Linked DNA regions of Danio rerio. The protein of the gene in region 1 purifies or fractionates together with the protein of each later gene. This does not show direct contact. Links are inferred from orthologs where the notes say so. Each region holds a gene or a part of one and is shown in the gene's direction. Other genes may lie near its edges.

Region 1 (3,657 bases):
CATGAGAATAGATTACATCAATGTAAACATGCAAACATAGACAAATGTCGATCGGACAGAGCGAGTTATGAGAATCTGTGACATTCATGTTTAAAATAATTCAACTCAAGTGGAAAATTAGGTGAAAAACAAACTAGAGCAAGCAACCTGGTGCTCCGCATTTGTGTGAACCCAGCATTAGTCACTATTGTCAACAGTTTGTTTGCTTCCCATCTGTGTTTATGCAGACAGTAATTGTTGCTTTGATTCTGAGGTCTTTGATGAGATAATTGAGACGCTTCTGCCTCTTCCGTGTTTCTATTTGTAGAGTTACGGCTTGTGCCATTTCAGAGCCATGATTTGATAGCAAGATACACATTGAACAACTGTGAAAATAACTCGATAATCCTAATAAGTCTGCACTCCAGTAGTTTGCGAAGGATCTTGAGCATCTTAAATCGAAAATCCCCAGTTCTCAATACTGAATGTTACACTTTTCTTACTAAAATGTTCACCTGTGATTAATTCTAAGTCCTTTTCTCTTCTCATTTCAGTCTACTCTCCAGACATGCCTTCACGGCTCCCAGTGCAGGACATTTTCGCAGGACTGGTCACCAGTATAGGCACAGCAATCCGATACTGGTTTCATTACACGCTTGTTGCCTTTGCTTGGCTGGGGGTTGTACCATTAACAGCATGTAAGTGATGCTGAAAAGCCGCAGTCTATCTGTGTTTTGTGCATTGCATGCTGTGTTACTCATATAATGTTCACCTTTTCCTGCAGGTCGCATCTATAAGTGTCTGTTCACTGGATCTGTAAGCTCGCTCCTGACTCTGCCATTAGACATGCTCTCCACGTACGTACCAGACAGGACAGCTCTCAGGTTTTCTCCTTAAAATATTCATTTACGTTGCAGATCAGCTCATTGTGAACTCTGGCCATGAGGGGTTATTTCAATCCTCACTGCAGTCCCGGGTTTAGCTGTGGACATGTGGTTGCGTGGTGAATTGTAATGGTTAGATATTTCTGTAGTGATGATAAGTGAATCCTCGTCCTCTGCAGAGAGAACTTGTTGGCCGACTGCCTGCAGGGCTGCTTTGTGGTGACCTGCACCCTCTGCGCCTTCATCAGTCTGGTGTGGCTGCGGGAGCAGATTGTTCACGGTGGAGCCCCTTTATGGTTGGAGCAGAACCAGCAGCAACCTGCCAATGCCGCAGGACCGCCCAATGAGGTAAAATATCAATGCAGTGTAACGCCTCCTTTCGTCAGACTGAATGCAGATCAGCTTCAAATTTAAACGGACTTAGATTGTCTAATAGACAAGCTATTAAAGTTGAGTTGTTAGATTAAGTATTTAAACAAATTGTTTTATTATTATTGTACAGTTTCTTTTACTTTGTTATTGCTACATTAATTTACTAGCTTTAAACCTTTCAGCAAAAGTTTGAAATTGGCTTTAAAAGAAGTCTCGTCATCAAAGCAGAGCTGAATTACTTCAGTTTTCAGTGTCATAAGATCTTTCATCATTTTATTATGCTGAATTGGTGTTCCAGAAACCATTTTGCTTCTTAATTTTACTCGCCATGAAAAAAAGCCATAGAAGCATCGCATGGTGTTAAACACAATTTATATTTTGTGCATATCTTTTTTTTATACTATATTTTACAGCACAATTCCTGCTGTTAAGAAACCATTTACTATGCTTCAATAAACACTTAATTTGCTGCTTATGTATAGTAGTTAAATTAAAGTAGTTTAAGCTAAAGTAGTTTAACATATAGAATAAGATCATGCAGAATGTGTAAATGTTCTATTAAACAGCCAGTATCTTAATAATAGGCAGGTAATAAGTAAGGCCATTTTTTGCTATTTCTGCTCAGAATTTTGAAAAATAAAATCTGTGGATTTATATAGAAAGATTTTGGGAGAATCATAAGTAAAAACTTGTATATGAAGTAAAAAAAAAAAAACTGTAGCTTTTTAACTTTTATTTCATCTTTACAATGCAAATGCAGCTTGGTTCATTAATTGGTAAACAAAGTAAGTCACTTATATAAAATATCTAAGACACAAAATATACTTTACAAACTGTATTGTAAGTAATTCATATGAGCATTTTCATATTTGACAATAATATTAATGAAATAAATTTCAAAATTGAATAAGTAAAAAGTTACACAAGTACATAAATAGACTCAACGATGGGCTAAAAATCTGTAAAATCAGTGAATTTCTGCATGCTTAGATTCTAGGTGGGACTAGAAGCCACTTGTTAATAGTCAGAATTGGTACTTGAACTAAAGTATTACCTGTTGTATTTCAGCAAATAAAACATTCACATCTTGAATTAAGTAGAATATTTGTTTAATTAATTGAAATTGCAAATGGTAGTGTGACTGCAGTGGCTTAAATATCATAGAGTAAATGTATTTAAAGGAAAAGCAATACAATTTGCACTGTAAAAAGTTATAACCTGGAAGTGTTACTCTAAAGAACCAAATTCCCTTTTTTTTTAAACCGATTTAAGCAATATTTTTGTTAGAATAAACCCATGCATGGTCAGTGATGTTAATTCTGTCTTTTTTTTGCTTGAAATAAGCTAATTTAGATATATATTTTTGTGTAAATAGTCATCGAAACTGGCATGGCATTGAAAATAAACCTTTTTTGTGCATGCAGATCATTGTTTGGTACATTATTGTGATGTGCAGAATTAAAAAAAATATTTTTTGGCCAAAGAATGAACAGTCTTTTTAGGTGGCCTAATCTTCCTTAATAAACCTTTTCACCAGCAACTTTTTTTTTTTTTTATACACAGTGTGAATGACACTCTAGTTGCTGCGTATGTCAGCTAAACTTTCTGAAGCTTGATATTCTTCAGAGACTAATTAAAGAGGTTGCGCCGTGACCCGCTTTGTTTACTTTGCGTCCTACTATAATTATCATTTTGATTTGAGCTCAACACAGTAGCCTGCCTGACCTTCTGTCATTCTCAAATCCCTCATTATCCCCTGAATCTCTGGACACCATTCTCTAACCAGAATAGCTGTTTGTTTCCACTTGGATTGAATCAGATTCAGTTTTCTCTCATGCCAGTGCTTTACCACAAGTTGACTCAGTCATAGGGGACAATTCTCTTTATCATTAATATAATATCTCATCCATCAGGCCCCTGGCCAGGGTAATGGTGGTGCTGAGAACCAGCCCATGCCAGCTCCGGCTGAACCTCCAGCAGAAAACGCTGCAGCTGCTGAGGCTCCTGACCTCCCCGCTGATCCTGCTGAAGAGATGGAGCTTGATAATGAGGATGAGGATGATGGAGGAGCTGAAGATGTGGCAGATGCTAACAATGGAGCACAAGGTACAACATGATACTTTAAACTAATTAGGAATCTCCTCAAAGGGCAAAAATTTAGGATGAGTATGTTTTTAAAAATCTAGAATTTCGAAGGGAGTAATTAGGAATAGTTTTAAGTTATTTAACTGAAATATCTAATGTTTATAATGATATCTAATGTTTAAATGTGTATATGTATATATATTTTTATTTTGTATTAACTTTTATTGAAATATGAAGTTGTTATTGAAGTTATTATTATTTAATGTGTATTTGTCTATGTTGATCTTGAAATAAGTCGGTGGTGTGAAAATAAATAGACAGACAGAATGAACTGTGA
Region 2 (3,757 bases), on another chromosome or scaffold:
CAAGAAGTCGTTTGCGGCTATCGTGAGCCCCATGTTACTTTAAGGTTAATAGAGGAAGAGATAAACTTGTTGATATCCAATGACCCTATAGCACGTCAACTCAATATGCAGGCTGATATCACAAAGTACTTCCAGCGCTCTGTAGACTTCTCAAGATCACCAATACACGACTGTGTTGCAGACTTGCAGACAAAACTGGACCGTTTAATAGAAAGCCAGAAAAATTAGAAGACATTTTAATAAACAGATTTGACACCATAATTGTAAGTTTGCATGTTGTTTATTATTGTCGATTATGATTTACTTTCTCGTGTGAATTGATATTGTTTTGAGTTATTCAAATTAGTTTCTGTCATGATTTGCTGTGAGCTAAAACTAAACCAAAGATAAATCTGTATCTTGCATGGTTTGTTTTTTTTAGTTAATAAATGAATACAAAAAGGCCTGAGAGCTTTCTTTCTTAAAAACAACAACAACAAAAATTAAACAATTAAAAGAAGCATTTAATTTTAGTATGAAAAGGGTTTAAGAATCTAACATTTTTTAAATTATAAAAGTCACTTGTAGAATGTAAAGATTCGACAAATGTTTAAAGGATAGTTCACCCAAAATTGAAAAATTGCCAACTTTCCTTATACTACTTCATGACTTTCTTTCCTAAGTTGAACACAGAAGATATTTGAAATATGTTGGTTTGCTACCACCAATTGACTTCCATTGTAGAGGAAAAATACTTTTGAAATCAGTGGGTCCCACTAATATTTAAAAAATATATATTAATTTATGTTCAACATAAAAAAAAACTCATGAGGGAGAATAAAAAATGAAGTAATTTTTAATTTTGGGTGAACTATCCTTTTGTGGAACCTTCCATTCCACAAGTGTTCTCAAGAAAGAAACTAAATTTGAAGTGAAGTGTGATTAAAAGACAGAATTTCATCATTGGGTGAATTATTCCTTTAAATTTTCTTTTTGGAACGTTCGATGCCAATTTAATAATAATAATAATAATAATAATAATAATAATAATAATGTGTTTCCCAATACATTTCTCAGAATAAAGTAGGTCTTTTATACAAGAAACTCTAGACATCTTTTTCTTTCTCAGTCTTTTTTTGAATGGCGCCCTCTCGAACATATTCATAACCAGGGATTATCTTCAAAAATATATGAATAACAAATAAATCCAGTCAGCTGGGCGCAAGTCTCTGATCTAACCGTACAGTGATGCGATTGGATGGCTGACGGAGTGGGCGGAGTTATCTGACTCTCTAAGCTCGTCATGTAATGTTCTGTCAGACAGTGGAGGTCAGCTCACATCCCTCGGTAAATAAATGACATGCTTTCAACACTCCATCGATACAGGTGCAGCAACGTCTATGATTATGCTCATAAAATGTCCATGCTCATCTCAAGTTCACGACATTTTAAGGTATGACTTTTGAGTGATTCTGTGTGTTCATTAATGGTGCTTGACAGTGACCTACATTTAGACGTTTGGTCTGTCTTACCGTCAGAAAGTTCCCCTAACCATAGTAGGCTTATAATTGATTTTAATTGAATACTTTTTATACATTATCTTTTATATTTACAGACCAAGATGTATTTATTCTTACCTATGCACAGAACAGCACCTCCAGCTCAGGAGATGTTGATGCTCCAGATGTCCCTGATGTCATCATTGTAGGGGCCGGGGTTTTGGGCTCCTCACTGGCATCAGTTCTTGGTCAAGATGGACGAAAGGTTACAGTGATTGAGAGGAGTCTGAGAGAGCCGGACAGAATAGTTGGTGAACTGCTTCAACCTGGTGGATATCGTGCACTCATAGAATTAGGCCTGGAGAGTGAGTTTCTTTTTGATCATCCAGTCACCATGCTTCAGTTTCCATTCTGAGCCATGATCCCTCTTTCCTATAGAGTCGGTAGAGGGGTTGAATGCACAGATTGTGAATGGTTATATCATCCATGACACTGAAAGCAGGATGGTTGTGGAGATTCCTTACTCTGAAGATCAGGATCAGTGTGGAAGAGCTTTCCATCATGGCCGCTTCATCATGGGGCTGCGCAGAGCTGCACTGGCAGAGCCAAAGTACCACAAACACATGGTGTGTTCAAAATTCATATTTTTGTAATTATGCATTTTAAATGACATATTTACCTGGTATTTTTTGAGTGTGAGGTTCATTGAAGGCACGGTGACATATCTTGAAGAAGAAAATGGCTGTGTTAAAGGAGTCCAGTACAAGGATAAGGATTCTGGGAAAATACAGGTTAGTCAAAAAAAGATCATGTTTATAGCTAAAAAAAGATTAACACAAAATGTCTAATGCTGCCTAATAAAAAAATGTCAAATTCTATACTAAAAAGCAATCATTTGACTTTACTTGGATAGTTGTTACATTGGTCACACTTTATCATAAGGTTTTATTAGTTCATGTATTTAACTTGAACTATTTATAAACAACACAACTTTCAAACCATTTATTAATCATAATTTAACATTAACGATGCATTGATAAAATCCAAATTCATACTTGTTGACATTAGCTATTGCACAGCGAGTTAACATGAACCAACAATGAATAAATGTATTATCATGAACTAACGTTATCTGACATGAACAAATGCTGTAATAAATGTATTGTTCATTGTCTGTTCATGTTAGTAAATGCATGAACTAAGATTAACTAACACAACCTTATTGTAAAGTGTGACCAATACATTACTCACTGCTTGCACACCCTCAAGTTGTTCAAAATCTTTTTTTTTTCAGTTCAAACTGAAGAAAACATTGACTTCCATAGTAGGAAACACAAATACTATGGAAGTCAATAGTTACAGGTTTCCAACATTTTTCTAAATCACTTCTTTTGTGTTTAACTTGAAAAAAAGAAACTCAAACAGGTCTGTGACAACTGGAAATGCTCGATTTTAGGTGAACTATCCCTCTAAAATGAGTAACCCTGTTGACTTTAATGTAACTAATGGTTTGTAACCAAACTTTGTGCATAGCTATACAAATTAAGTAAACCGTTACAGGTTAGAAAAGTAAAGTAACTAATAATCGCTTTTTACTGTGTATCATGAACTCATCAAAATAGTGTAAAATAGTCTGTGTTACAGTACATTGACATAAGTGGTCAGTTTACCTTATGATGATCAAATATAAATCAAGAAATGTTAATGTAATCTGAAAGATTCTGTCCCTCTATTGAACATATACTGACTCAAATTTTTATGACATTCACAAAGAGGTCACAGAATGAATCTAAATGAATCCAGGCCTTCTGAAGCAACACAATCAGTAATAAACAGATTTATTTTGTATTTTTATTCACATATCAACATGAGCGACCAATTCAATTCAATCATAACTTCTTGACACACAAGAATGAACCTCATTGGTACTTATGTCTCATGCTAGTATGCTTGAGCTTCCATGACTAACCATAACTAAGGACTTTTATAGTGTTTAAATATATTAGATTGCATCATCTTATCAAAATAAAGTTGTAAAATTTCAAAAGTTCCCAATTTTTGTGAAAAATGCTTCTGAAAAAAAGGTTAAAAGTTCAGAAAAGAATTGTTATCTGGTTCAGAAATGTATGAATTGATGGTAGTTTTCATGATGCCTTCACATTAAAACCACAAATGATTATCATTCATTCATTTTCTTGTCGGCTTAGTCCCTTTATTAATCCGGGGTCGCCACAGCGGAATGAACCGCCAACTTATCCAGCAAGTTTTTACGCAGCGGG

The links.
Region 2: the proteins of marchf6 (region 1) and sqleb purify together in Homo sapiens (affinity purification with western blotting; 4 studies listed by BioGRID and IntAct, with this or other methods). This does not show direct contact. The link is inferred for Danio rerio from reciprocal best matches to the Homo sapiens genes MARCHF6 and SQLE.

The regions. Positions count from the first base shown.
Region 1 is NC_133177.1:33,459,534-33,463,190, forward strand, and holds part of marchf6 (E3 ubiquitin-protein ligase MARCHF6), read left to right. Parts: intron 1-533; coding exon 534-677; intron 678-763; coding exon 764-836; coding exon of another isoform or gene 837-863; intron 864-1,042; coding exon 1,043-1,211; intron 1,212-3,148; coding exon 3,149-3,341; intron 3,342-3,657. UniProt on the Homo sapiens protein: Endoplasmic reticulum membrane-associated E3 ubiquitin ligase that plays a critical role in mitigating endoplasmic reticulum stress, the regulation of cholesterol and lipid homeostasis, and ferroptosis.
Region 2 is NC_133194.1:8,354,312-8,358,068, forward strand, and holds the start of sqleb (squalene monooxygenase), read left to right. Parts: upstream 1-1,246; 5' UTR 1,247-1,287; coding exon of another isoform or gene 1,288-1,326; 5' UTR 1,327-1,334; coding exon 1,335-1,432; intron 1,433-1,626; coding exon of another isoform or gene 1,627-1,631; coding exon 1,632-1,843; intron 1,844-1,916; coding exon 1,917-2,088; exon of another isoform or gene 2,089-2,172; coding exon 2,173-2,269; exon of another isoform or gene 2,270-3,757. UniProt on the Homo sapiens protein: Catalyzes the stereospecific oxidation of squalene to (S)-2,3-epoxysqualene, and is considered to be a rate-limiting enzyme in steroid biosynthesis.